Linked DNA regions of Sus scrofa. The protein of the gene in region 1 binds, or shares a complex with, the protein of each later gene. Links are inferred from orthologs where the notes say so. Each region holds a gene or a part of one and is shown in the gene's direction. Other genes may lie near its edges. The genes, in order: SMC5, NSMCE3, EID3, NSMCE1, NSMCE2 and NSMCE4A.

Evidence for each region.
Region 2: SMC5 (region 1) and NSMCE3 share a complex: the UniProt entries of both Homo sapiens proteins name them as parts of the SMC5-SMC6 complex. The link is inferred for Sus scrofa from reciprocal best matches to the Homo sapiens genes SMC5 and NSMCE3.
Region 3: SMC5 (region 1) and EID3 share a complex: the UniProt entries of both Homo sapiens proteins name them as parts of the SMC5-SMC6 complex. The link is inferred for Sus scrofa from reciprocal best matches to the Homo sapiens genes SMC5 and EID3.
Region 4: SMC5 (region 1) and NSMCE1 share a complex: the UniProt entries of both Homo sapiens proteins name them as parts of the SMC5-SMC6 complex. The link is inferred for Sus scrofa from reciprocal best matches to the Homo sapiens genes SMC5 and NSMCE1.
Region 5: SMC5 (region 1) and NSMCE2 share a complex: the UniProt entries of both Homo sapiens proteins name them as parts of the SMC5-SMC6 complex. The link is inferred for Sus scrofa from reciprocal best matches to the Homo sapiens genes SMC5 and NSMCE2.
Region 6: SMC5 (region 1) and NSMCE4A share a complex: the UniProt entries of both Homo sapiens proteins name them as parts of the SMC5-SMC6 complex. The link is inferred for Sus scrofa from reciprocal best matches to the Homo sapiens genes SMC5 and NSMCE4A.

What each region holds. Positions count from the first base shown.
Region 1 is NC_010443.5:223,628,898-223,633,571, forward strand, and holds part of SMC5 (structural maintenance of chromosomes protein 5), read left to right. Parts: intron 1-848; coding exon 849-1,022; intron 1,023-1,129; coding exon 1,130-1,299; intron 1,300-3,420; coding exon 3,421-3,544; intron 3,545-3,901; coding exon 3,902-4,024; intron 4,025-4,674. UniProt on the Homo sapiens protein: Core component of the SMC5-SMC6 complex, a complex involved in repair of DNA double-strand breaks by homologous recombination.
Region 2 is NC_010443.5:144,470,796-144,476,053, reverse strand, and holds the start of NSMCE3 (non-structural maintenance of chromosomes element 3 homolog), read left to right. Parts: upstream 1-2,027; 5' UTR 2,028-2,133; coding exon 2,134-2,970; 3' UTR 2,971-5,258. UniProt on the Homo sapiens protein: Component of the SMC5-SMC6 complex, a complex involved in repair of DNA double-strand breaks by homologous recombination. The complex may promote sister chromatid homologous recombination by recruiting the SMC1-SMC3 cohesin complex to double-strand breaks.
Region 3 is NC_010447.5:80,220,199-80,225,106, reverse strand, and holds the end of EID3 (EP300-interacting inhibitor of differentiation 3), read left to right. Parts: 5' UTR 1-583; coding exon 584-1,681; 3' UTR 1,682-3,773; downstream 3,774-4,908. UniProt on the Homo sapiens protein: Tissue-specific component of the SMC5-SMC6 complex, a complex involved in repair of DNA double-strand breaks by homologous recombination.
Region 4 is NC_010445.4:19,643,440-19,648,113, forward strand, and holds part of NSMCE1 (non-structural maintenance of chromosomes element 1 homolog), read left to right. Parts: intron 1-1,475; coding exon 1,476-1,622; intron 1,623-4,674. UniProt on the Homo sapiens protein: RING-type zinc finger-containing E3 ubiquitin ligase that assembles with melanoma antigen protein (MAGE) to catalyze the direct transfer of ubiquitin from E2 ubiquitin-conjugating enzyme to a specific substrate.
Region 5 is NC_010446.5:14,517,739-14,522,412, reverse strand, and holds part of NSMCE2 (E3 SUMO-protein ligase NSE2), read left to right. Parts: intron 1-3,407; coding exon 3,408-3,561; intron 3,562-4,674. UniProt on the Homo sapiens protein: E3 SUMO-protein ligase component of the SMC5-SMC6 complex, a complex involved in DNA double-strand break repair by homologous recombination. Is not be required for the stability of the complex.
Region 6 is NC_010456.5:131,598,492-131,603,165, reverse strand, and holds part of NSMCE4A (non-structural maintenance of chromosomes element 4 homolog A), read left to right. Parts: intron 1-394; exon of another isoform or gene 395-1,628; coding exon 1,629-1,780; intron 1,781-4,421; coding exon 4,422-4,521; intron 4,522-4,674. UniProt on the Homo sapiens protein: Component of the SMC5-SMC6 complex, a complex involved in DNA double-strand breaks by homologous recombination. The complex may promote sister chromatid homologous recombination by recruiting the SMC1-SMC3 cohesin complex to double-strand breaks.

The sequences.
Region 1 (4,674 bases):
TCTGATGACCTCCTTAGCTTATAATGTTCTTTTTGCTGAGAATGCACTTACCACTCTTACCAGTTTCAATGTGCATGAAATTTGGGTAGGCTAATCTCAGTTAGGTTTTTCCTTCATTTAAAATTATTAAGCATTTGTGGATGCCAGCTTATATCCCGTTAAACTAAGTATTATCTCTTCATTTAGACTATAGATTTCTGGGCAGAAACAAGCCACAAGAACAACCTTTAGACATTGGAAAAGCCTGCAGTACAATAGCCTTTTTATAAATACATAGAAGCAGATGCAATAATGTTATGGTGTTTGGAATATGCATTAATGTATGAAATTCCTCGTATAAGTTCTTGAAAGAAAAGATCTCCAAAATGCAAAAAAGTCTTTGAAGTCCTTGGAAAGTTGCTTGTATTAAGTATTCCCTAAATATACAGGAATTAAGTATATAAGATTATGTATCTGAACGATATAACTGAGGGGAGGAGAGAGTAAATGACTTGAGATATCACAGTTCACTCAACTGGGCTACTGACTCTTGGCATCTCTTCTATAGATAAAACAGAAATCCAAAAGTATACTTACTGGGGAGAGATTGTATACTCAAGTAGAAGTATAGCTGACTTTGCTCAGTGTCTTGGTTTTTCTCTCAATTCTCTCTTCCTTAGTGTTGCTTTCCACAATATAACCTGAAATATATCACCTGAAATGTTGGATACATTTTTCAAAAAACATAAATGAAAATATATGTTTTGATCTTTTAAAATTCACTTTGATCATATTTTTAGTGCTTTATTTAGTCTTTTAAAAATATAATCATTCTGAAATGTGCACTGAATGTTTATTTTACATTATAGGTAATACAAGAAACCCGATTAAAACAAATTTATACAGCAGAAGAAAAGTATGTGGTGAAAGCTTCTTTTTATTCAAACAAAGTTATTTCTAGTAACACATCCCTAAAAGTAGCCCAATTTCTCACAGTCACTGTGGATCTAGAGCAAAGACGACACTTAGAGGAACAGCTAAAGGTTGGTCATTTTAATTTAGTGTGATTATTAAACTAGTAGAAGTCCAATTGATATTTTTTCAACTAGACAGTTTTTTCAATATACTAACAATTTTGCATATTCCATAGGAAATTAATAGAAAATTGCAAGCAGTAGAATCAGGGATGATTACCTTACGTGAGACAAACAAACATCTGGAACACAAAGATAATGAACTTAGACAAAAGAAGAAGGAGCTTCTTGAAAGGAAAACCAAGAAAAGACAACTGGAACAAAAAATCAATTCCAAACTGGGAAGGTATCTTTTCAGCCTGTTCTGGGGTAAGGGCTGTCAGGGGCTGGTACAAAAGCACTGTGAGGATATTATTAGTTATACCCTGGAATGATGACACAATTCCCACAGGGAAGTTCTGTAATCACTTCTCTCTCAGATTTTAATTCTACCACCAAAACACAGGACAAGGTAGGTGAATCTTAAATGTTGTTTTCCTGTTCCCTCATTAGCTGTTCTCATCCCTGGAACCCCTTTCTATTATAAATTATTGAGGACCTTAAGGAAGTTTTGTTTATATGGATTGCATCCATTGATATTTACCACATTAGAAATTAATTCATTAAAAATAATTCATTATATGTTAACATAAAATATTTATGAAAAACAACTGTTTGTCCAAACAAAATACATTTAGCAGAAGAGTAGCATTTTTTTTTTTTTACCTTTTTGTAAATCTCTTTAGGTGAAATCAGTTTTTTCATATGTGCTTCTGCAGTCATTCGGTTCTAAGATGTTTGCGTTGAAAAAAAAATCTGACCTCACATAGATAAGCAGCTGGAAAAGGGAGGAGTGCTTTAATAGACTTTTCAGTGGTGTGTGTGTGTGTGTGTGTGTGTGTGTGTGTGGTGTGTGTGTGCATTTTTTTTTTTTTTTTTTTTTCCTTTTTAGGGCAGCACCTGTGGCATATGGAAGTTCCCAGGCTAGGAATCAAATCAGAGCTACAACTGCCAGCCTACACCACAGCCACAGCAACGCGGGATCCGAACCGTGTCTGTGATTTGCACCACAGCTCCTTAACCTGCTGAGTGAGGCCAGAAATTGAACCCACAACCTCATGGTTCCTAGTTGGATTTGTTTCTACTGTGCCACAACGAGAACTCCAAGTGTTACGTATACTCTTTAATGTTACATCACAGCTTGCCAAGTTAAAGTTTAATTGCAAATGGAATCTGAAATCATCAGTGAAGTTGTATACTCTTACATTACTTTAAGTGCTTCTTTTACCCATAAATGACTTTATTATATTATGCAGTGATCATTTGGAAAATATTGGCTCACCAAGTCATGTAGATCTTCAGATAACATTTTATCGTGTAATATTTTTAAGAATCACATTATCTCCAGTCTAATCAGAAGAGCCTTTAGAATTGGGAAGCTGTGAAGCACACAGTGGTGGATAAAAAGTTTCCAAAATTCTGATTTTTACTTGACAGCTTGAATCCTATCATTGGCAACAAGTTTTGGGGTTTTTTTTTTTTGGTCTTTTTCTAGGGCTGCATCTGTGGCATATGGAGGTTCCCAGGCTAGGGGTCTAATCGGAGCTGAAGTTGCCGGCCTACACCACAGCCACAGCAACGCCAGATCCAAGCCACGTCTGCAACCTATACCACAGCTCACGGCAACACCGGATCTGTAACCCACTGAGCAAGGCCAGGGATTGAACCTGCAACCTCATGGTTCCTAGTTTGATTCGTTAACCACTGAGCCACAATGGGAACTCTTGGCAACAAATATTATCAGTAATTATTTTTTAATCACTTAAGATAGGCTTACGCTTCATTCACTTTGGGTGGAAAAGGAAATTTGCTTAATACCAAAGTCAGAATAACCATAGTTTATCCATCATTCTTCAAAGAAAAAGTAGTATGCCATGAATAAAGTGTCTAGTTTAGCTCCTTAACAGAAGGGACTGTATTTGTAAACAGTGTTTATCAGTTATAGGCTACACGCTAATTATACTGCGTCATTGGCCTTTTTTAAAATTTTCACCAAAGCCCTATAGGAAAGGTACTATTATTATATCCAATTTATAGATGGAAAAACCGAAGCTCAGAAGAGTATCTTGTTCAGTTAGACAGCTCATTAGTGACAAAGAGGAAATTCAAATCATCTTTCTGACTCCAGATCCTATACCATTAGCACTAGCATTATGTAGCTAGATTATGCTGGGCACATAACGTATCTCAAAAAATACTTTTTTTCAATCCTGACTGGTTGTATAAAATGATTGTTTAATCTAAATGCTAGCAGTTAACACATCTGAGTAGCATTGCTAAACAGCCCATAAAATAGCAGGGAACCTAAGGCTTTGGCCTCCATTCTTGTGTTTTTTCTGATTACTGTATCATTATGCACTTCATACAGTTTAAAGCTGATGGAACAGGATACTTGCAACCTTGAAGAGGAGGAGAGAAAAGCTAATACAAAAATCAAAGAAATAAATGTTCAAAAAGCAAAACTTGTTACAGAATTAACAAACCTATTAAAGGTAAGGCATTTTCTTGATATGAGTCATATTTTTTTGAGTGCAAGTAGATAGTAAAATCTTAGCAAGAGATTTTTATCAATATCAATAATTTCAGTTTTCTGTTTGACGTTTCTTGGTATACATTAGTTAAATTGGTCAAAAGCACTCATTAAGCTAACTATTTTATTCTAGATGATACAAATATACAGGAAAACTTAAAAATTCTCTTAGAAGAAAATTATAAGAAGAATTGAGAGAGGTATCAGTCATATTAGAAAAATGTTATTTTTTCCATATTTTATAATTTTGTTTTTTAAAAGAAACTTATTTTTCTTAGTTTTAAAACAAATTAAACTCTTAGGGGTTTTTTATTCCTAGATTTGTACTTCTTTGCATATACAAAAAGTAGATTTAATTCTTCAAAATACTACAGTGATCTCTAAGAAGAACAAATTGGAGTCAGATTATATGGCTGCTTCATCACAACTACGTCTCACAGAGGTAAAATTTTTGGTTTTATTTTTTATTTGGGGATTTAGACCACTTTGAAAACATACATACTTATATCATCCCTTTCAATATGCAGTTTGTTATGTGCTCTTTAATTTATGAATTTAATGCATCCTGCTGACAAGGAAGCAATATTTGGAATACTTGTATGTATGCTGCATGTTATGTTATTTGGTGGGGGGAGGGGTAGTAATTATCAAAAAAAAAAAAAGAAATCAGAGTATCTGATTTAGTCCCTTGGAAACGAGTGTCTCATGCTGCTTTCTTAATCCATGTAAGTTATCGTCATTACTATTATCAAACAGCAACTAGTAGGTTTTTTTGCAATTTGTATCTTATAAAGTAAATTGCAGATGAGTTGTAATCAACACTAAGAGTGGCCTTAGTGTGTAATCTTGGTGATTTAGTCTTCTGTTAGTATCTTTGAAATGAGATATTGAAACTGGGAGGGGGCAGGGTGGTGGTATACTAGGTTAAGATAAATTCCAAAGAACTAGTAACAAAAGAGTAGTGACTGTGGCAGTTTTGAGTCTTGCACATTTCTTTCCCAAAAATAGAAGAGCAACTAGGATAACATAACAACCACAAACTAAGCTTTAAAGTGTCCCTACTGGTGTACTGCAGTATATTCTCATACTGAC
Region 2 (5,258 bases), about 79 Mb from region 1:
TTTTTAACCATTTGCTTGACCTGTGAGACTACTTGGTAACTGAGGCAAACTCCTTATCAAGGAAAAAAACAAAAAACAAAACAAAACAAAACACTAAAAAACCAGCCCAATTGTTGACAGTGGTTTTTGTCTTATTTCCTATTTTTCTGTTATCTCTTGGTTGCTATTTTTTTTCCTTTTCTAAGTCGGGGTACAACTGATCCTTCTGAAGGGACCTTTTGCAGAATTCTCAATTGTAGGAGGTTTCTTTGAACTTGGGTTTAAATTTTAATTTGCAAGAAAGTTGAAGCAGATGAATTTTCTCATTGTGAAACAAAATGAATGCCTTGATGATATATTTGTTTTTCTTAGCAGGCTTCTGCCATTAAGATTGATGCTTGAGGATATATTGTTAGATCTTGTGTGGAACAGAAAGTTATTACTCATAGTTTAGCAGATTTTAGCATACTTGCACTACAACATGGAATATTTTACATTTAATACTGCGCCATTATCAGATGGCATTTTCATACTGAATTACAACAAAAATTTTATGCTACTAACATTTAATGAAATTTTAATAAGGCTGTGTTTTGATGCTATTATTCAAATAATGTGTTTTGAATTACTTTCCTTGGAATATATTTGCATTAAAGAGGAACTCAATTTGATTTGGTTCTTTGAAGAGTTTACCCACTTTCTGGTAGCTTTAAAAAAGACAAAATGGGAAACTCAGTTTCTTCTTTGCAAGTCACTAAATAGAAAAGGAAGGCTGGAGTTCCCATTGTGGCGCAGCAGAAATGAATCTGACTAGGAACCATGAGGTCTGGGTTCCATCCCTGCCCTCACTCAGTGGCCTAAGGATCCAGCATTTCCTTGAGCTGTGGTGTAGGTGGCAGACTCGGCTTGGATCTGGCGTTGCTGTGGTGTAGGCTGGCAGCTGCAGCTCTGATTAGACCCCTAGCCTGGGAACCTCCATATGCATGGGTGCGGCCCTAAAAAGACAAAAAGACAAAAAAACGAAAGAAAAAAAATTTTTTTAAAGAAAGGCATTTGCTAAGATCCGTGGAAATAAGGCAGCAGACTGCAAATGGTTTGAGTTAATGAAACAATTCATGTTGGTTATTAAAGTTGCACTATGTGTGTGTATATATATATGTATATATATATATATATATATATTTTTTTTTGCACATTTAATAGATTATAAGGGATGCTACCCTTGGGTTCTCCTAACTTTCACATTGAGCCCTTAAGGCTGATCTATTAAGGCAGTCCATGATTGCAGTTCTTGGTCAGGATGCCTAAAATTAAACGGCAACCTCTTGAGAGCGCATATCTTTGTTGGTAGCTTTCTCTCACCCATTTCTGCTAAAATTCTGGTTGTGGGACCAAGGCGATTTTCATGAGCATGTGCTTTATAAAAGATAAACTCCCTTGACCAAGCAAAAACACTCCAATTAAACGTGATTTATGGGGCGGCTTCGCGAAGTTGTCCAGCTGATGGTATTTATATGTACACAATATCGACACTGAAATAGTGAAAAGGCAAGTCTGTTGTTACCTTTGTTTTTAAAGAGACTGTTTTAAACAGGCTTTAGAGAAAGTAACTCTTGGGAAACGGTTAGGAGGGATTGGTGAAAGCAAACTAGTCCTCATGGTTTTTCATTCCTTTTACATCTAGTTTTGAATGGAAAAGAAATGCTTTCACTTTCCTTTCACGCTCTCCGCGGTTTTTCTCCCACATTCACCTTCGGAGTTTCCTTCACCTAACAAGTTCCGACTTGAGAACTCGTCATACTTACTCTCAGTAGTCCTAGTCGCTCTGTTAGGGGCTTTGTTTCCTGTTCTCTATCTGCTTGGCTTGGTAAGGACAATCCTTAATTATAATAAAAGAAGCCATAGGGACCGCCAAGGCTGAGCAAAGACCCCACTTTCCTGACTGCCAAAAGGCCACTGCTCCGACCTACCCACAAGACGTGGCGCGAACTCCGTGACGTAGCGCGCAGCCCTCTTGACGCAGCGCGCAGCCTCCGTGAGGAACTCGCGCCCGTGGCCCCGCCCCGGGCCGCCGGGACCAGCTGCGCGCCTACCCGCAATCTCGCAGCCGCCGGTTACTGTGAGTCCGCGCCGTCCGGGGCCCGCCGCCGCGATATGTCGCAAAAACCGAAGAGTCGCGGCCGCGCCGGCACCCAGGCAGAACGGGAGCGGGACTGGGGAGGAGGCGGCGGCGCAGAGGAGGTCCCGAGCACGTCCCGCGGGCCTTCCTCGCAGGGCGGCCGGCGGGCCGAGGCCTCCCCAGCGCCGGGGCCCCGGTCGCAGAAGCAGCTGGAGCTGAAGGTGGCCGAACTCGTGCAGTTCCTGCTGATCAAGGACCAGAGGAAGATCCCGATCCGGCGCACCGACATCCTGAAGCACGTGGTCGGAGACTATAAAGACGTCCTCCCGGAGCTGCTCCGGCTGGCAGCCGAGCGCCTGGAGTACGTGTTCGGGTACCGGCTGGTAGAGCTGGAGCCCCGGAGCAACACCTACATCCTGGTCAACACGCTGGAGCCGGTGGAGGAGGACGCCGAGGTGCGCGGCGACCAGGGCACACCTACCACCGGGTTGCTGATGATCGTGCTGGGGCTCATCTTTATGAAAGGCAACAGCATCAAGGAGACGGAGGTCTGGGACTTTCTGCGGCGCCTCGGGGTGCACCCCACCAAGAAGCACCTGATCTTCGGGGACCCCAAGAAGCTTATAACCGAGGACTTCGTGCGGCAGAGGTATCTGGAGTACCGGCGCATCCCCCACACTGATCCTGTGGACTACGAGCTCCAGTGGGGCCCACGCACCAACCTGGAGACCAGCAAGATGAAGGTGCTCAAGTTCGTGGCCAAAGTCCACAATCAGGACCCCAAGGACTGGCCGGCTCAGTACTGTGAGGCTCTGGCTGAGGAGGAGGCCAGGGCCAGACCCCCAACAGGTGGCCCAGCCCCTTCTTCTTGAAATCTGAGAGACTCAGAGGGACTCCAGGGGGGGGTGGGGGGCGTGTGTGTGTGTGTGTGTGTGTGTGGTGTGTGTGCATCTTTCTGCTAAAGCTTCAATGTGCGTAGTTTTAGGATGTGTTTGCCGACTTATATTGCAAGTTCCTTGGTTCCAAATTTTCACCTATAAAAATATTAACGGACGATTTGTTTTGATTTATTGTCTGTGTTTTTTGGTATAAAAATCTCGCTAGCTTTCTAAAGCTAATTGGAAAACTTTGTACCATGATCTGGAAATAGATATTGAAGAAAGAACACGTCAGTAAGTTGCTTTGATGTCAAGGAAATAAAAGCACGAAATGGCTCTTACCTGGCCTCTTGACGACCCCACTTTGAAAGGAACAATAAAAGTCTATAAATTGAAACAATAAAAGTCTATAAAATGTAATTGCCTATATCCCTTTTTAAATTTAGCATAGCTACTTTTAGAATGTATTTTTTATGTATGTAAGCGTTATGAATCATTCTAAGTAATGTACATGCTGTATTTTTCCCAAATAACTTTACCTCGATAATTACTACTAGGTTGTGTGGCTGACTTTTAGTTACATTTATTTTTTTCCTTTTTTGGCTACTATAGTTACAATAAATACTGTGTTTTGAAGCAGCATTGTGCATTTTTTTAACCATAAGTCGAGAAATTAATTTCATGACTGAAAACAGGCATCTTAACAAAAAACACTTTTTGCTACATAGCATTAAGGTAAATAGTGTTTTGTGGAAATTGTTTTATTTGTGTATGTGCATATCACGATGTAAAATGTATTTCTTTCAGTGGGTTACAGAAAAGATAAAGCCATTAGTGATTAACCATGCCTACCTGGGAAGCAAACTATCTGGATTCAGATTCTACTTCTGCATAACTAGCTATATGAATTAGGCATGTTACTTAAGATGTATACAGATTTTTCCTCACCTGTAAAGTGGGTTGATGATGCCTGTATTGTGTGTGATGTGATACTTAGATATGGAAATATGTGTGAAGTTCTTGGCACAATGCTGGGTGTGGGGGATTTTAGTTGTTGCTCTGTTCCTTAAAAGTTTGTTTAAATATGTTTTTTATTCTTGGTATGGAGCAACAAAAAAAAATTTTGAAGGTTTTCTTTCATTATCTATTTAGTTTTCAATTTGTCCTATTATTTTGTAACTTTGATCACTTTGGTTAAGGTGGTTTCTGCCATTCCTCTACACTTTGAAATTTTCCATTTCCCTTTGTAACAAACAAGCAACTTGTGTGGAGACAGAGATTTTGTAAATATTGTATTCCTCACCAAAATTTCAGTTTATTCACTTTTATCTGTATAGATTCATTATAGTCTTTTATTGTCACGATTTATTTTGATACCCAAATTGTCCCTGTTTGCCACTGGGAGCATTTTAAAGCTGGCTTTTGTGTCTTCTACTTGCCCCCATCATTCTTTGAGCAATTCCATACTTTCTGGCACAAAAAGATCATTCAGCCTTAACTTGAATTTTCCCTGCCACAGACCTCTCAGCCATTTTCTCCAAAGAGCTCTGATTCCTTTTGGATGGAAACGAATTCAGAAACAAGGTTGCCAGGTTTCCTCATGCCTTCTAGAAGTATCCTTGCTTCTAGCCCTCTACATGACAAAGTTAGTCTTTTTGTCTATTTGTATATCTAGCTATCATCTACTGAAAACTATGACATTACATTGATAATAGCATATCCATTCTATACCGTAGTGTTTATTATGGTTTTCTCCCTTGTTCTATCTGTACTGTTCTATCTGTACCTAACTTCTCGAACAGTAAGAAATTCATATCCTTTAATCCTTCTAATAATTATTTGATCAATTGCCTGTAAATAACCAGTCTCTTCTGGCTGCCACACCCTCCTGTGTGGGATGCCCTTTCCTCCGTACTGGGAAGCTGACATCCCACCAGAACTGCCCTGGGCATCCACCCTCCTTCTAAAGCTTGGGCTCTAGCACCACACCCTGAGGCCCTTGCCTTTCAGTCCCTCTCCTGCAGCACACAAAGCAAAATGACCTGCTCTGCTCCACCCAATGGCTTTAGCACTGAGTTGTTCAGGAAATCGAAAACACTGTTCTCATCTCATAAGTGAGTTGGGGAGCATTTACTTTACCACGAACATAAGGATTAAATGTTTTTGAAGGTTTCTAGGAAAGCCATGTATGAAAGGCTCTTGGAATGGTGTTTCTGATGGGTAGATTTTTGCTACTGATTTTGTATCATTAACAGTCTGTTCAGGTTTTCTCTTCAAATTAG
Region 3 (4,908 bases), on another chromosome or scaffold:
TAATTAACTCAATTTACATTTGTATAATGAAGACTAAATTCCGAGAGCAGCCGTCTTTCAAATGAACCCTGAGAGTTCAGCCTATCTGTTGATACTGCAGGTCAAGATCCTTGGCTTTTTGAGCAGTTTATTATTTAGCCAGATTTAGTTCTCAAAACAAAAACAACCCACTTTTTAATTACAGTGAGAAAAAACGCTGCTGCAGTGACAGCAAATGTTTTTAAAGCTCAGGACATTTAGTTCTCCCTTAATTTTGTCCAATGAAAGCTTGATGACACTGTCGGTAAACGCCGGAGTAACTATCCAGCGCTTGAACCGGTATTACTCCACTGCGGGAATTGAGACAATTGAGACCCACGAGCACGCGTTCTCCGTGGCGTGGACCCGGGCTTGTTTGAGAACCCAGGGGTCTGGGCTCCGCGGGGCGGGGGCTGTTGGGAGGCGGGGCGACCTGGGGGCGGGGCCTCTGGGCCGTCCCTAGCGCGCATGGGCGGACGTCCTCCTCCGCTCTGTCTGACCCCTTCGATTTTCCGCCGTTGTCCTAAACGTTGCCGGGGCGTCATCTGAGCCATCAGTTCCCGAAATGTCTGATGAAAGAGATTCCCTGAGGTGGGGGGACAGAGAGAAAGGAGAGGAGCCGGTTGTGACCGTCACCCGCAGTGCGTACTCTGGCAGGCAGGCGCAGGAGGAGGAGGGGGAGGCAGGGGCTGATGCCTTCTCTGACGACCTCAGCCTTGGGGAGGCCGACATTGACCCAAGCCTCCTGGAGCTTGTGGACGAGGAGAAATGCCGGAGTATCCGCAAGCAGTACCGGCAGCTCATCTATAACGTCCAGCAGAACCGTGATGACATAGTGAACACGGCGAGCGACTCCTTAACCGAGGCTCTCGAGGAAGCCAATGTCCTGTTTGATGCAGTGAGTCGAACAAGAGAAGCCGCGCTTGATGCGCAGTTTCTTGTTTTGGCTTCTGATTTGGGTAAAGAAAAAGCAAAGCAGCTAAACTCTGATATGAGCTTTTTTAATCAAGTAGCATTTTGTGACTTTCTGTTTATATTTGTGGGTCTAAACTGGATGGAAGATGATGGACGTGATGTATTGAATGACTGTGATGATAATATAGCTTTTTCCTTCTGGGAGACAGTGCAAAAGGAAGCAACATCGTGGATATTGCAAGCTGAAACATTCCACTTTATTTTTGGTTCATTCAAATCAGAGCCTTCTTCTCGAAAGCCCCGACTTGAAAACCGGAAAAAAGTTCACAAGATGGAAGAAAATGGGGACATGCCTACAAAGCTGAGGAAGCTGGACCTGAGTAGTAATCAAGAAGCGACAGAAAAAGAAGTAGAAAGAATCTTGGGATTGTTGCAAACATACTTTAGAAAGTATCCTGATACTCCCGTGTCCTATTTTGAGTTTGTGATTGATCCAAATTCTTTTTCTCGTACTGTGGAGAATATATTTTATGTTTCTTTCATTATAAGGGATGGTTTTGCAAGAATAAGGCTTGACCAAGACAGGCTGCCAATATTAGAGCCAATTAATATGAACCAAGTGGGTGAGGGAAATGATCCCAGTTCCCATGGCAGGAAACAAGGGGTTATATCTTTGAGTTTACAGGACTGGAAAAATATTGTGGCAACTTTTGAAATTTCAGAGGCTATGATCACAAACTCATACTGAAGATAACTTGCTCTTAGAATGTATTTTGTGGCTTTTCTAAAGCATATCAAAACGGCTAATAAAATCCAAACAAAACACACATTGTATCTCTTGTAAAGTGAAAAAGTATTATCAATAACATCAGAAGTTGTGTACTGTGCAATGTGTTTTTCTTGGTATTTATAGAATTGTCATGATTTTCTGCTAACTAAAGAAATTCACTAGCATGTTTGTGGAAACTTTTTTTTTTTTTTTTGACTGTTCCTTAAGACCTTATTAAGAGAAGTTCTGAATTTTTTAAATTAAAAGGTGTTTGACAATTGCAAAAACTTAGTTATGAGGCTCTGTGATACTGCATTGCTTCCTCTGCTACAGGGAATCAAGGGAATTCCATATAGGCTCTTAACCAGGTTGAGGGAAAGAGTGGGTGAAAAAAAATGGTCTGGAAAGACTATCTGTAGGGCAGTGCATAAATACTGTAAAAAAATTCAGATGCCGTGCCTCATTGCAAAGAGGACTCAGCAAATTAGCAGGGATATCCAGATTCTAAAGAATTTCTCCTGTGATTGGACTCAGCGGAAGTAGAATATCTCTACTATAGTAGGTGAGGCATTAACTAAGTGCTGAGAGATGAGTAGAAATTGGTCAAAGATAGGAAAAGTATTCTAGCAGGGAAATATGGAGGCCAAATACATGGAATTGTAAGATGTTACGGTATCAGAAAGATTTATAAGCTTTTTCTGAACACTGTTCCATTTGAATGTTATATTGGGCAAAAATTGATTTACTTCATTCATCTGTTAATATCCTCAGAGGTTGAAGATCTCTGTCAGATTATTTCACACGCAAACTATTTTAACATCCATTTACAATCTCTATCTACTTAAATTCTTCTCTGGCTTCTCATTTTTCCCTTGTAATTTATGTTAGTACACAGTGATTCTGCTAGTATCTCAGAATCAGTGATGTTTCATTATGTTGCAGCCTTGAAATGTTTGTTACCATTTCAACTTTGTATTTCTCAATAGGGCTTTAAATGCCTGGAAATTGTCCTTGTTTAAATTTAAATATATGACTAATTTATCCAAATATTCTTCACTTCTTATAAAGTCAAAAGGCTTTATGTTGTTGCTTATAATTATTTTAAGAATATAAATTGCATTGTTATTTGGAGGCTACTGTTAGAAATTTGGGTCTTTAAGAAAACAATTTTTGAGTTCCCGTCGTGGCTCATCAGTTAGCGAAGCCGACTAGAATCCATGGGTTCGATTCCTGACCTCGCTCAGTGAGTTAAGGATCCGGTGTTGCCGTGAGCTGTGGTGTAGGTCGCAGAAGTGGCTCAGATCTGATGTGGCTGTGGCTGGCATAGGCTGGTAGCTACAGTTTCGATTGGACCCTAGCCTGAGAACCTCCATATGCCATGGGTGCAGCCCTAAAAGACAAAAAAAAAGACCAAAAAAAAAAAAAAAAAGCAATTTTTGAAGGTGCTGTGAGCATGCTTGTAAGCTTTTCTTGATCTCTAGAAACTTAATCTTGGGTCGTAGTGGGTCTTGCCATTAAACCGTATTTAGTAAGTGGGTAAGTATCTGCTTTGTTTAGCAGTAATGATAAACTTTACTGCCACGTCTCATGTAGTAAGGGAAGGGAAATCAAAAGGCTAAATGAATGACATTGAGATTGAGAGGTTCTTTAGTCTTAGTGGAGGGTTTTAGCAAACATAGGAATTTCTCCTGAGACATGGCCTATTATTTTCTAAACTAGTCGTTCCTTTCCCTTTTTTCATGTGAAGGGGTCCTCTCCCTTCCCAGTACCTACCACCCTTTGATCTAGCAGCTGTGGAGGCCTCATTTCGTCTGGCTGATTCTTCCTTTAGTGTGTCTTCCAGCCGCCCCCTTAGGTTTTCCAGAGCTTTGCTGTTTGGGGGAAAGATCTCGACGGGAGCAGAAAGATCTTGCCTCAGGTCTGCTCACCACCGGATGACTCTTTAAACACCAGGTGTCTTGACCAGGAGTGTTTGCGACTTGATGATTGAAAGCACATTGCGTAGCAGAGAACGGGGAGGCTTGTGAAGGAGGGCATCTTTGGGTCTCCTCTAAAGTTACAGCAGAAATAGAATTTTTTTTTTTTTTTTTTTTTTTTTTTTTTTTGCTATTTCTTGGGCCGCTCCCGCGGCATATGGAGGTTCCCAGGCTAGGGGTCGAATTGGAGCTGTAGCCACTGGCCTACACCAGAGCCACAGCAACGCAGGATCCGAGCCGCGTCTGCAACCTACACCACAGCTCATGGCAACGCCGGATCGTTAACCCACTGAGCAAGGGCAGGGACCGAACCCGCAACCTCATGGTTCCTAGTTGGATTCGTTAACCACTGCGCCACGACGGGAACTCCCCAGAAATAGAATTTAAGTTAAACACTTGTTTCTGTTTTTAACTGGTTGTCATGACACCTGGATTGCCTCATCACTTGGAAATTAAGCCACTACTTACCTTGAAGAAAAAAGGAAAATTGACCAATAGATAATTCATTTTTAGAGATTAGGTAAGAACCAAACTCAAGTCTGCTGGTTTCCCAGTAGTACAGTTAGAGTGATTTAAATTTCATAGGTTCAATAAAGTCAGCTGAACTTTGGGAGAATAATACGGAAAAAAATTTTTTTTTTTTTTGTCTTTTTGCGATTTCTTGAGCCGCTCCCTTGGCATATGGAGCTTCCCAGGCTAGGGGTCAAGTCAGAGCTGTAGCCACCGGCCTACACCACAGCCACAGCAACTCGGGATCTGAGCTGCATCTGCAACCTACACCACAGCTCACGGCAACGCGGGATCCTTAACCCACCGAGCAAGGCCAGGGATCAAACCTGCAACCTCATGGTTCCTAGTTGGGTTTGTTAACCACTGAGCCACGACGGGAACTCCATGGAAATTTTTTAAACTGGGATTTTGTTGTATAACAGAACAGAGTGTATAACTTCCTGATCAAAGGACCTGGGATCAATCAGATCCTGATGTCTAACATTCTAGTCAGAGACTTTGGACAAATTATTGAACCTGCAAACCTTAGGTTTTTTATTTGCTAAGTGGAAATAATTACCTATTCTCATACATTTACAGTAAGGATAAACTTAGGAAGTGTATGTGACAAGTACTTTTGAATTATTGGGTATCATGTTGAGAAAAGCAAGAAGTTTTTAATTATTTGGATCTGGGTTTAATTCTTGACTTATGGGCAAGTTTCTTAATCTCTAAGGGTTT
Region 4 (4,674 bases), on another chromosome or scaffold:
GGATCTGGCATTGCTGTGAGCTGTGGTGTAGGTCCCAGACATGGCTAGATCTGGCATTGCTACGGCTGTGATGTAGGCCAGCAGCTGTAGCTCCAATTTGAACCCTAGCCTGGGAACTTCGGGTTGCGGCCCTAAAAAGCGGAAAAAAAAAAAAAAGTCTCAGAAAGCCCACTGCAGGGGGATGTCACCAAGCACCCCACCCAGAATTCACAGTTGCCAGCTGATTGCTGGGGGGCGGGGGGGGGGTCGCCACGGCTGCTCAGGAAAGAAGAGCTGGTCTGGGTTTGAGCGGCAGCAGGCCTCCTGGGCGCTTGGTGCAGGTGAGCAGGTGTTACTGCTTAGTGCTGCCGTGTGGTCCAGGACTGGCTGCAGCATCACCCTGGAGGGAGCTTTCGAGAAAGGCCGGATCCCAGTCCCCACCCAGACTGTTGAATCCGAACCTGCATTCTGGGAAGGTCCCTCCAGGGTGATGCACTTGCATGGCGACATTGAGAGCCGCTGCCCTGTCACTGTTCACTGAGCCACCTTGTCGCTTACCTGGCTGAGCACCTGGTTAAAGACGGGGTTCTGAGTCCGGATGTGCGATGTAGTAACTGGGAGGTAAAACTCCAGGTCTGTGGGCTTCAAGGCTTCGAGGGCTGAGTCATAGGGTCATTCCTTTCTAAGCTTCCCCTGGGGACGACGAGCAGCCAGCGTTGAGAACCAGGCTCCAAGATGCCAGACAGGTGTGTGGGCAGAAAGCCTGTCTTCCCAGCAGCTCTGCACTGCTATGGGCAGAAGCCATAGGGCAGCCCGCCTGCCAGCCTCCCCCGGCCTGGCACCATGGGCACCATGCCTCTGAGGCCGCCAGGGGTGCTCTCCTGCTGCGCCCCCCCCCACCGGCTCTGCTTTCCTGTCACTTAGGCCAGCCTCGTGGTCTGCTCACGTTTCACTCTCAGCTTCTCCATCTTCAGGGAGGTGAAATGACCCTTCTTGATTTAAGGGGAGGCATTAAGATCATTCATTTGGGGAGTTCCCATTGTGGCTCGGTGGAAATGAATCTGACTAGTATCCACGAGGACACGGGTTCGATCCCTGGCCTGGCACAGTGGGTTAAGGATCTGGCGTTGCCGTGAGCTGTGGTGTAGGTCGCAGATGCAGCTTGGATCCCGAATTGCTGTGGTTGTGGCTGGGCCGGAAGCTACAGCTCCGACTTGACCCCTAGCCTGGGACTCTCCATATGCTGTGGGTGCAGCCCTAAAATAAAGACAAAATAAATAAGACTCTTCACTTGGGATGGCGTTACAAGAGTGACTGTGGAGTCAAAACTGAATGTGTTATGGTTTTTGATGCATATTATTGTTTTCCTGAAGGCTCCTAGATTTCTGCCTGAGATGTGAGTAATTTCACTGCACCCCTGTCGGGGTTGGTATCATTGCTTCAAAGTTATTTTTGCCGATTTAATAGATGAACGTGGTACCCGCTGTTTCTTCTAGCTGGAACTCATTATCGACTCCGAAAGCGGCTTCGCGTCTTCCACAAATATCTTGAACCTGGTCGATCAGCTCAAAGGCAAGAAGATGAGGAAGAAGGAGGCCGAGCAAGTGCTGCAGAAGTTTGTACAAAACAAATGGCTCATTGAGGTACCTGGTCCCACAGATTCTCCAGCTTGGCTCACTTTTTGGAGGGAATCATCATCTTCCCTCCCCAACCACCCTGGATCCCACGCGTGTCTGTGGAGCCAGGCCCTTTCAGGCCCCTCATCTGCTTCGATGCCCACAGTGACCCTGCGAGGAGGCCTGGAACCTCCTGGTCACTCCTGTGACCTTGTCCAGGGTGCCCCAGCTGGAAGTGGCCAGGCCTGTGACCCGGGTCCACGGGCTGGAGGCAGTGTGCACGCTGGGTAGGGGTACAGCGTGAGCACCAGCCCTGGGCCCAAATCCCGGTGCGGGTGTCCCCCGTGTCCTCATGTCTACTGAGGGGAGTGGTGGCATCCACTCCAGGTGCGTCAGGTGCCTGCTGCTGGCCCCTCAGGAATCGCTGTGACGGCACGGTTCTCAATGGCAGCATCACACTCTTCTGGACCCGTGCTCTTGGGTTCTTGCACTTAGATGGCGGCCCTTGAGGCGAGGAGCTGGAGGGAGCCGGGAAAGGTTCAAGCTTCTAGACGCCCTGCGTCTAGTTCTGTCAGCTGGAGCAGTCAGATGTCTCCGCTCTTTTTCCACAAACGCACCCCCGTTTCCAAGAAACCCAAGCCGGACGTGCTTAGCGCCGCCCTGGGTCCCACAGCCCTGCCCCTCCGCTGCCCATCTGGGCGGGACGTGCTCAGCTGGGCCCTCGACTTCCTCACTCAGCGGTCAGGCCCGAGGCTGGAGGCTGCTGCTGTGGTAACGCCATGCTTCACTTCCCTTCTGGGGAGAGGTCCCCTCTGGTGTGGTGACAGCAGTGCTCTGAGTGGTCGATCTCTTGGTGGAGGGGACCCCGGCAGCCTGACCAGAAATAGTCAGTTCCTGAGGGACTTTGCTGATGGGAGGAAAGGTCTGGCGAGGCCACAGCGGCCAGGTCAGGGGTGGCAGGTGGGGGGTGTGCCAGCATCTCTGGGCACGTCTGCACCTCAGGTCCTCCCGGCCGCCCTGTGACGACACGGAGCCCCTTAGCTCTGTTCCGTGGCCGAACCACGGCAGCCCCATGATCTGGGTGAAGTCCCACAGCCGGCAAGTGGCAGGGCCATGCTCAGCCCCCAGCTCGGGTGACTGCAGGTCCCTGTCAATTGCTTTGTCACAGTTTTCCTTCCTCTCTGGGGTGGATTTGGCAACACGGAACGTTCTGGGGCAGCTCGGGTCACAACCCCACGCTCTGTCCTCGGGCAAGCTCCCTGAGGGCCAGGCCTGCGCCCTCCTCGTGGCTGCACCTCAGTGCTCCTGAGGCCCTGGTAACTGCTTCCTGAACGGGGCGGGAGGATGGAATCCCAGAGGAACGCAATGTATCTAAAACATACCGAGGCAGTGACACCGGAAATCCTTGTAGATTGGGAAGAAGCGGTGTTTGGATGGGGGATCACGTTGCTGAGAACACGTGTCATCGTGTCATCCTCCCCCCGCCCACCGAGCTCACCCCCTGTGCCCTGCTTGGGGCCTGCAGGCGGTCGTGCATATCCAGCACGATGCTGTCACGTCACCGCGCAGGGCTGGAGGCTGTCCTTTGCTGCCCAGAGAGGGGACCAGGGAAGGAAAGAATGTGCTTCTGGGGGCTGCTGGGCTTGCCCTCGGGCCCAGCCTCCTGTCATCTCTGCTTCTTCCTCAGTGACATGGAGATGCTGGGGCCGCCTTCTCCAGGGGCGGCCCTGACCTTGGGGGAGACGGTGGCCTGGAGGCTCTGTGAGCTGAGCCCTGGCCCCCACAGCCCCACAGGCCTCAGGGGAGCCCCCTGGCTGGCTGAGCCCTCGGGCCTTTCGCGGACGAAGGAACAGGCCCGGTGCAGCAGAGGATGCGGTGGGCAGGCCCCCAGGTGCTCTGGCTTTGCTGCTGCCCGTGGCAGTGGCTTCTGGTCTCTGGGCCGTTTCCTGTCTGGAGGATGAGGACAGTGACGGCTTCGGGTGTTTCCTTCGTGAGGGCGGAGTGCTCTCTGAATGGTCAGCCTGGGGGTTGCCGTGAGTCCTGTGGCCCTCTGGAGGAACAGCTGAGGGACTTTGGGGTGGCTGCTGGCCGGTCCCCTGACCTGCCTTCCTGGGGCAGTACCTTGATCAGAGGGACCACGGCCTCTCAGAATGAGACTTTCCCCAGGAGCTGTGCTGTGCAGACTTTATTGGCCACAATGGGAGACTCACCAGTCCCTGGACAGGACTCTGCCCCGGCTCAGCTGAGTGTGGGCTGGGCAGGGTCAGTGGGGGGAGGCCCCAGGACCGGGGAACCCTCAGAAGGTGTGGCCCCTTGGAGCTTGGATGCCATTCATTGACTTCAACGGATAAACTTCCACGGACCCCTGTGACACCTGTCTGCCTCTGGGTGGCTCTCAGCCTACCTCTTCCCTGTGAGGTGGCCATGGGGTCAGCCACTGCAGTCAAGGGTTTCTGTATTTCCTGGCTTTCTCAGGGTTTGGGGGTTACACGGCCTGGGGACTGTTTGGATGTGGGAACCGAGAGGCCCTGCCACCCACGCCACCACGATGCAGCCTGGGGCCTCCCTGGACCCGCCCTAGCGTGGTCCCGAAAGTGGCGTGGCTAGAGGTAATTAGAGACCACCCCTGCGGAGGCTCCAGGCAGGAGTGCTGGGAGGCACCTGCAGTGCTGCTCCTGGGGGCTGGGGGTCGGGGGAGAAGAGGAGGGAGGGGGCACCTGGGTCTGGGCTGGGAGTTCGCCCCCAGGGGTCACTGCCTCCCTTTCCTGGCCTCTGTCCTGCCGTAGGAGGGCTGGGGCAGACCTCGCGTGTGGGTCTGCTGCACAAGGTCCGTGATGCCAGGAGGTGCACGTACGGCGCTGAGATGATGAGGGGTCTGGGGTCCCCCCCTCGGTTTCCTTTCAGGTCTTTCCCAAGTTTCCCTGCTCAAGGCTCTGCCAGGGGCCGGCGTGGATGCCCGCTGGCTGGGTTGGCAAAAGCCTGTGGGGTGAGGGGTGTACAGGCCTCTGCCCCTTTCTGGGCTTTTCTCGGGCTGTGGGAGCAGAGGCACCGGGCGGGAAAAGGGCATGCCTGGTGTGCC
Region 5 (4,674 bases), on another chromosome or scaffold:
AAAGGCTTTTCTCAAATGAAATCTGATACTTGCTTTCTCTCACTGTTTCTGATTTATGTGCCCCATTGCTCCTCCTTCTCAGTCCACAAACATGTTGAATGCTCTGTGCTAAAGTGGAAAGGAAAGAATTTTAAAAAATTTTTTTTCATGGCCACACCCACGGCGTGTGGAAGTTTCTGGACCAGGGATAGAATCCGAGCTGCAGCTGAGACCCATGCTGTCACTGGGCCAATGCCAGATACTTTAACCCTCTGTGCTGGGCTGGGGATCGAATCTGCACCTCCATAAACACCCAGACTGCTGGAGTCAGATCCTTAACCCACTGCACCACAGTAGGAACTCATTTTTTATTTATTTATTTTTTAAGAATAAAAACTTTTTAACACGTACTATGTGCCAGAGTTAAATGCAGACCTAATGTGATTACGTCTTCATGGCACTGCGGTGGGTCTTCCTGATCGCTAGTTAAGAAATGAGAGAAATCGAGGACCTGGAAGAATCGTCCCCAAATCCACCATTTAGGGTGGACCCAGACCTACCTGCTTGATCCCAAGGTCCCTGTTCATTCTCCTCCATCATGTCAACTTTGCTTCAAGCTACTATTAACCTCTCTACAAATAAACACGTCTCTTTTGCTCTCTCTTTCCCAGGAGCTGCTTCCCATCTCTTCCTTCCCTTGCTCCAAAACTTTATTCACTTCGCTCCGCTGTTTACTAGCCATCTTTTCTGGAATAAGTCCCAGCCTCTCTGGTTTTCTGTTGTGGGATTGGGGGGATTCTCTTTTCTACCTCATTATATTTTTATCTGAATGAAATGAGGGAACTATGGTCCCTCTTCTTATGTCTACACGGTAGTATTCAGCATCCGTGTAATTCGCTAGTTCGCCCACATCATTTGAGCACCTACTGTACAACAGAGAGTACTAGGCACCAGTGAACATCACAGCTCACAGCAATGCCGGATCCCCAACCCAATGAGCAAGGCAAGGGATTGAACCTGCATCCTCATGGATACTGGTCAGATTTGTTTCTGCTGTGCCATGACGGGAACTCCAAATAATGACTTTTTTCTTTCCCCTTTGGGATTATTTATCCTGAAGATACACACAGCCAGAAACCATTAAAAATAATAGTCAATCCCCATTTATTGCACTGATTTAGACAGACAATGAGTTTAATATTTTCCAGGCTCTCATTTTGATAGCTAGAGTACAGTGAGTTCTCTTTGCAGCAGACCTGCAAACAGATGCTGCAGATGATGCCAACTGCAGCATTACATTTCCCGAGAAGATATTTGCTGCAGTGAATTTATGTGCATATAGCAGTTCTCTTGAGGTTCTTGTGTTGGGGAAGACAACACTCGGTATTGCTAAACACAACAGGGAATATAGCCAATATTTTATAATAACTAGAAATGAGTATAACCTTTAAAAATTGAGAATCACTGTGCTGTACACCTGTAACTTAAAAAATATTGTGCGTAAACTACATCTTAATTTTTTAAAAAGGATTTTATTTATTTGTTTGTTTGTTTTCGGCTGCATTGAGCATTTGGAAGCTCCTGGGCCAGGGATTGAACCCACACCACAGCAGTGACAACACCGGATCCTTATTTCCGCTGACCCACCAGGGAACTCCTAAAAGAGGATTTTTAAAAGTATAGAAAAATAAACTAAAGCACCTCCTGCTTCACATTGAAAAGTGGTTACAAAGGCAGTGTACTGTTCTTATTTCTGGCTCCAAAGAATTGTGTGATAGAATAAAAGAAATTAGTGTCACAGAATGAAAAAGGGGGAAAATACTTGTTATTTTATGTTATTGTGTATCTGCCCTTAGGGATTGTATCTGTGTATTAAAGATAATGGTTACAGTGAAAAAAAAAAAAATAAGGTTGAAGATGGATGGGTAGGTGTGTGATAAAGCAAACAGCAGAGGTGTTCCCGTCGTGGCTCAGTGGTTAAGAATCCGACTAGGAATCATGAGGTTGCAGGTTCGATCCCTGGCCTTGTTCAGTGGGTTAAGGACCCGGCGTTGCCATGAGCTATGGTATAGGTCGCAGGCGTGGCTTGGATCTGGCGTTGCTGTGGTATAGGTTGGCGGCTACAGCTCCGATTAGATCCCTAGCTTGGGAACCTCCATATGCTGTGGCAGTGGCCCAAAAAATGGCAAAAAAAAAAAGCAAAACAGCAGAATTTTTGTGGTGTCTAGGAGGTAGGTGAATGGTAAAATACAATTTTTTCCATGTTTTTGCATGTTTCAAACTATTAGCAGGGGGAAAAAAATAAAGATTGAGGAGTTCCCGTCGTGGCGCAGTGGTTAACGAATCCGATTAAGAACCATGAGGTTGCGGGTTCCATCCCTGCCCTTGCTCAGTGGGTTAATGATCCGGCGTTGCCGTGAACTGTGGTGTAGGTTGCAGACGCGGCTCAGATCCCGCGTTGCTGTGGCTCTGGCGTAGGCCGGCAGCTACAGCTCCGATAGGACCCCTAACCTGGGAACCTCCATATGCCGTGGGAGCGGCCCAAGAAATAGCAAAAAGACTAAATAAATAAATAAATAAATAAATAAAATAAAGATTGAGAGTTTAGCCTTGAACAGAATAATGGGCATTTATTCCTTGTGGCAGCAAATGGTGGGAGTTCAAGGTTAAAGCCTCACCTTGTTTTGTAAAGTAGGAACCCCTCTCACTTGCTGGGGACAAGGGCCTGAGAAAGAGGAGTGCTTAAGAGAATGAAGGATGGGAGTTCCCCTTGTGGCTCAGCGGGTATCAGACTAGTATCCATGAGGATGCAGGTTCGATCCCTGGCCTTGCTCAGTGGGTTAAGAATCCAGTGTTGCCGTGAGCTGTGGTATAGGTCGCAGACGCCGTTTGGATCCCTTGTTGCTGTGGCTGTGGTGTAGGCCAGCAGCCACAGCTCTGATTTGACCCCTAGCCCAGGAACTTCCACATCCTACAGGTGTGGCTCCAAAAAGAATGAAAAAAAGAGAATGAAGGATGGAATGCTCTCTCGTAGTAGGAGAGGGGACTGAGCAGACCTAAGCCAGAGGAAGCCTTACTCTGAAAGCCTAAGGAAGAGGAGGAAGCCACTGTGCTCAGGTTCCGGGGAAGGTAGAGGGCACAGTTGCCCCAGTGTGAGATTCCCCCCCACTCCGTGGTAGTTGTCAGGAGACAACAGGTTAATAGGGCCCTGAAGGGGTGGTTTAAGACAGCAAAGGGTACCTGGGATGAATGATTCCCTCCGCTGTTTACTAGCCATCTTTTCTGGAACGCGTCCCAGCCTCTCTGGTTTTCTGTTATGGGATTGGGGGGGATTCTCTTTTCTACCTCATTATATTTTTATCTGAATGAAATGAGGGAACCGTGTCATCGTTAACATTTAAATAAAGTGATGTTATTGTCTTCCTCAGGTAAAAGAAGAACGTCCAGAAAAAATACCCGATCTAAAATTATTAGTGGAGGAGAAGTTTTTGGCTTTACAGAATGAGAATTCCGAGGCAGACTTTCAAAATAATGAAAAATTTGTGCAGTTTAAACAACAGCTGAAAGAACTAAAGAAGCAATGTAAGTCAGCATGCTTTGCTTTGGTTTGGCTTTTTGAAATTAGGGAACTGGATGAACGTTCACAGAAAACTGATTTTTTATAGAGTTTGCTTATCTGCTTGGCTTGACCCTCTTTCTAAATTGCTTTTTTATTGTTGCTGCAATTCTGTATTCTGCCTTAACTTTTGGTTCACATCAGCCTGTCCCTTTCTGAAAGCCAACAGTTTCCACAAAGTGCTAAGAAAATTCCTCAGCAGGTAGAGAAAAGTCACACTGTTGTCTCACTGCTGGGGAGGGGACTTGGGAATGTAAAACTGAAAGCACTTTTATTAAAATAACAATGGTATTTTTTCAAATTTTAAACTGCTGTGCCAAGCTTTACAATGACCATGCCTTGATTCTAGTTTTGCTGCTTTAGACGAGTAGGAGCAATTGTTTTTTTTTTTTTTTGGTCAAACAGGAGACCAAAATTCTCTTGATCCCTTCTCTCTCTTGGTAGTCATATAAATTCCACATGCTTCTTAGATTTGTTGTCTTCCTGAGAAAATTTATTAAACTGAGATTTTTAATGAACATAATTTTGATTGAAAAATGAGAGTGGAAGAAATTAGGGGTATCCAAAAGAAGTTTGTATAGAAATATGTATTTCCTATACAGTGAAGTACATATGTCCCTCTCCCCCCCCCTCTTTTTCCATATAATCCACATAACAGTTTTATCTGATTTTATTGTTTTTACTTTACACTAGCATCGATTGTTCTTTTAGTTTTGAGGTTCTTTTCTTCCTTAGGGAATAAAGAAGCAAATAACTTTTTTTGCACTTTAATATCACCTTCATCTGCATGCGTGGGGAACAGGAGTGCATGATATGTGAATTTACTTCATGCTCTTATATGTACTCAGGATAGGGATTCATATTTTGAAATAGGCTTTCTTTTAAATATAAGCATTTTCTTTAAATTGATGCTGAGATTTCAAAAAATGACTGAGGAAGCTGCTTTACTTTTGTCTATTTTACAAATAACTCAAGTTTCACAATTTGGAATGTTTTGCAATCATGATGAGACTTTTGCTTTTACTGTAGATTTAAACAGTAAGCATTTTTTCCCACATTTTAAGTCAATTTTTTTTTTT
Region 6 (4,674 bases), on another chromosome or scaffold:
AAGACCTGAAATTAAGAGCTGTCTAGTCTCTGGGTGGGGAAGAGCTTTTCAAGTATAACACCAAATATAAGACCATAAATGCAGCCCTAAAAAGACAAAAAGAAAGGGAGAAAGAAAGAAAAAAGACCATAAAGAAAGGATGGGTAGATTTGACCAGACAAAAATTGAAACGTCATCTTCCAAGTGTGTGGTAGTGGGACACGATGTCAGGAGGACCGGGGGCTTGGGAGGGTGACCTTTCTTCTCTGTCCAGGTTCTAGCAGCCTCTCTTCAAACATTTAAATTGCCTGTAAAGCATTAAGCTCTCTGAGGGCTTCTGGATGACTGTTTATATACGATATTACCATGTTACCTTGATAACTTCTAGGCATTTTATAATGTAATAAGAGCATTCTTTCAAAAAAGCAAATTTAATAGCATACACTTGCTGTAAGAGAGCCTGAGATAAGAGAATTATTAGACTTCCGCCAGCTCTTCCCAGGAAGGCAGTTTTAAGGTGAACAATTCCCTCCCAGACGCGAGGCCACAGCTCTCTGGAAATGCTGGGGCACAAGCTGAATAGCAGTCTCCAGGAGGGTGGCTGAAAATGCACGTGGGACGCCAGCCAGATGTCCCTGTTCTGTCTTGGAACTGCTGATCTGGGTGTGATTGCATAGTTTCAGCTTTACTAATACTTTCAAAATGGACTGCTTGTGATCAGAAACTCCCCGCGGGAGCTTAGTTCTTATGTTGCACCCCTCACAGGGGCTAGACAGGGTTTTTCAGCCTCGGCAGCCCTCAGGACATCTTGGCCTGAGTGTGTCTTGGTCGCGGGGGGGGCTGTCCTGTACATTGTAGGATGTTGAGCAGCACGCTGGCTTCTACCCACTCGATGGCAGTCACACTGCCTCCCTCCATGCCCCCCCTCCAGTTGTGATAACTAGGCATTTTATAATGTAATAAGTGTTTCATAAGAGCAAATTTAATACCATACACTTGCTGTAAGAGAGCCTGAGATAAGAGAATTATTAGACTAATATTAGACTAATAAAGATGTCTCCAGACTTGGCTGTGGTAACCAAAATGTCCAAAGACCCCCGGGGGTCAAATCACCCTAGTTGAGAACCACTGATCTGGACCATCTCACTCTCTCACCAGAAGCTCTAAGTACGTACTAGAAGTGGTAATGAAGTGAGACATATTTTCTGCCAAAAAGAAGGCAGCTTTTGGAGTTCCCATCGTGGCACAGCGGAAACAAATCCGACTAGGAACCATGAGGTTGCAGGTTCGATCCCTGGCCTTGCTCAGCGGGTTAAGGATCCGGCGTTGCCGTGAGCCGTGGTGTAAGTCACAGGCGCAGTTTGGATCTGGCGTTGCTGTGGCTGTGGCGTAGGCCGGCAGCTGTAGCTCCGATTGGACCCCTAGCCTGGGAACCTCCATATGCCACAGATGCAGCCCTAAAAAGGCAAAAAAAAAAAAAAGGAAGGTAGCTTTGAAAAATCGGAATTTATCAGAAGAAATTTAGCCAACATGTTAGGATACGGAAAACGGACTTAGCCTCTGGCCTCTTGTTTAGCGATAGAGATGCTTGGATGTGGTAAATGACGGCTTGTGGCTTAACGGGTTTTTGTCTCCCTTCGTTTCTGTAGCTGACACATATGGGAGTAAATCCGCTAGAAGCTGAAGAACTCGTCCGTGATGAAGACAGTTCTGACTTTGAATTCATAGTCTATGACTCCTGGAAAATATCAGGCAAAACAGCAGAAAACACCTTTAATAAAACCCATACATTCCACTTTCTGTAAGATTATTCTAAAAATCTGATACCCCAGCTATGTGTAAACCTTAAATTGTTTTCTATTGTAGGGACAGAAAGTATTTGGTGTTGTAGGTGGTCGTGATGCCATTGTTTGGAGTCTAAACTTTGTGTTTATTTTTTTTATTTCTTGGCCGCAACTTTGGCACATGGAAGTTCCTGGGCCAGGGTTTGAACCCTCGCCGTAGCAGCAACCAGAGCAGCTGCGATGACAGCGCCAGATCACAACACCTGCTGTGCCACAAGAGAACTCCTCAGTTTTGATTTAGAGTTCCCTGCTTGGCTCAGTGGAAACAAACCCAACTAGTCTCCATGAGGACTCAGGTTTGATCCCTAGCCGCTCCCAGTGGGTGAAGGATCTGGCGTTGCCGTGAGCTGTGGTACAGGTTGCAGAGTTCAGTGCCCGAGCTTGCTGTGGCTGTGGTGTAGGCCAGGAGCTACAGCTGGATTTCGACCCCTAGCCTGGGAAATATTTAAAAGCCCATAAAATCTTGGTGTGGATGGGACCTCATCCTGCTTAAATTAAGGCTGTGGGCCGGCCCCTCCTTACCAGGGCCCTCTGCTGGCTCCTCTGCTTTCTAGTGTGAGGTCTGTGGGATAATGTCTGGCTTTGTTTTATCATCTTTAAAAGCCTTATTATGTAGGAGGATGAGACCTCCCACAAAAGATATCTTAAGATTCTACCAGTATATGTAAAGTGCTGTTTGTTGTAATGCCCTGTTGGATCATCTCTGACCTAAATTTGAAGACTGCTTGAGTCATTGGCACATAAACTGCCCAGTTCGTTTTTCGGATACAACTCTCATTTTTGAAAAGCTTTCCTTTTATACTCAATGGGAATTGGCTTCTGTCTTCATTCCCTAGCTCAGTCCTCTGGAGAAACTGAGACAGCTCTTATGGGTCCTTTTGTAAGGCAGCCTTCAGATGGAGAGAACTGCTCTAGAGTAAACCACCAAGTGCTTTCTCCCTTAAGTGGACAGCTCCAGGGCATCTGTCTATCCTGACTGCGCTTCTAGATTAGCGGTGTCTCAGAAGGCTTTGGAGATGCAGATGCAGTGGGGCTGTGGTGTGGGGCCAGGTATCTGTTTTTTTTCTTTTTTGCCTGCCCCACAGCACCTGGAATTCCCCAACCAGGGATTAGATCCAAGCCGAAGTAGCAACCTACGCTGCAGCCGCTGCAGCGCCAGATCCTTAACCCGCTGTGCCAGGCCAGGGATCAAACCTGTGTCCCAGCACTTCCAAGATGCCTCTGATCAGGTTGGGCCACAGTGGGAACTCCCAGGCATCTCTTTTTAACCAGACTTCCTTTAACTCCAGTGCCCAGAACCACTGAATATTATAGCAAAAAGATCAAACTTTTTTATTATAAGAAAAGTCCAAGAGTTCCCATCGTGGCTCAGTGGTTAACGAACCTGACCAGCATCCATGAGGACGCAGGTTCGATCCCTGGCCTCACTCAGTGGGATAAGGATCTGGTGTTGCTGTCAGCTGTGGTGTAGGTTGCAGACTCAGCTCAGATCCCGAGTTGCTGTGGCTGTAGCATAGGCCAGCAGCTACAGCTTTGATTCAACCCCTAGCCTGGGAACCTCCATATGCCTCCAGTGCAGCCCTAAAAAGATGAAAAAAGAAAAGTCCAAATCTTTTTTTTTTGCTGTTGAGTTCTAGGCTCTGTCAAAAGCCCTAGGCTCTTTTGTTACATGACTTAAACTTTATCTCCTCATCTAGCCCACGTTGCAGCCACCATGATTTTCTTGCTACTCTGCAGCCTTGCACCTGCTGCTCCTGTGGCCTACAGGGTCCTTTCCCCCATTTTTCCCATCTGGTAAGGTTTCCTCATCCCACAGTCCCCAGCCTGGAAGCCTCCAGTAACTTCTCTAGACAGAGGTATCAGTGTAGGATCAGATTTCCTAACCAGATCGCTGCCATGTCTGGGGGGAATAGCCCTTGAGTCACACTCCAGTACCCACCGTAGGAGCTACTGTGTTACAAAGAAGCGGATCTGTGTGCTGATGAGTACTGAGATAGATGTGTACTTATCTGTCCATCTATACTGCATACCTTGATCTCATGTGTAAGGACCACGATGCTCCCGGCCTTGGTTTCTACGTGATACATCTATCACTGTAGCTTAAATCTGCATTTTTTGGGGGGTGGAGGGAGTCCAAGAGGGAAAGGCCTCTGCTTGACCTGTGACCTCCTAAGACAGGTGTGTTCTAGAGTCCTAGCCTGTGGGTCTCTGCCATGACACCCCCAGACCAAACGCTTTTAACCCCAGTGGAGCAGCTGGTTCCCCTTCCCCACGTGTTCATCCTTGCCCTGATTTCTGAGGTTGCGAAACAGACAACAGGCCAGCCGGCAAGACCAGCTTCTCTGGCCGACCGTTCAGAGTGAAATATGAAGGCGCAGACAAGGCATCTGTGGTGGAGTCAGGCCCCGAGGAGTTCGAGAAACACTAAGGGAGCAGAAAGGGTGTCACAGGCCTGACAAGAGTCTTGGTCTGATGTCACTTGTATACCACCAGTGCCTGGTCCGAATTTGACTCTGCCATGGGAACTGCTTTCCGCTAGTGAAATGAGCTCATTTTCCAAACAAACAGAAAAAGACATGAAAGCGTATTTTTCATTAGGTTGGGTTCAATCCAAGGAGAGGGCCCTGTGCCAAAGCCACGAATCGATCGCCCAAAGAAAGCTCGTATGATAGAAGAGAAGCAGGCAATGCCTGCCGAGGTTGGTTGGTTTTGTTTTGTTTTTCGAATGTTGCTTTTTAAAACACCTAAAGTTAAAATAGCCGTTAATATCATGTACATGCAATGTGGCCATCTTTTCGAAGCTTTAGGGGCTGGAGTCAGGTTCTGTCACCCACAAGTAATCATGTAATAT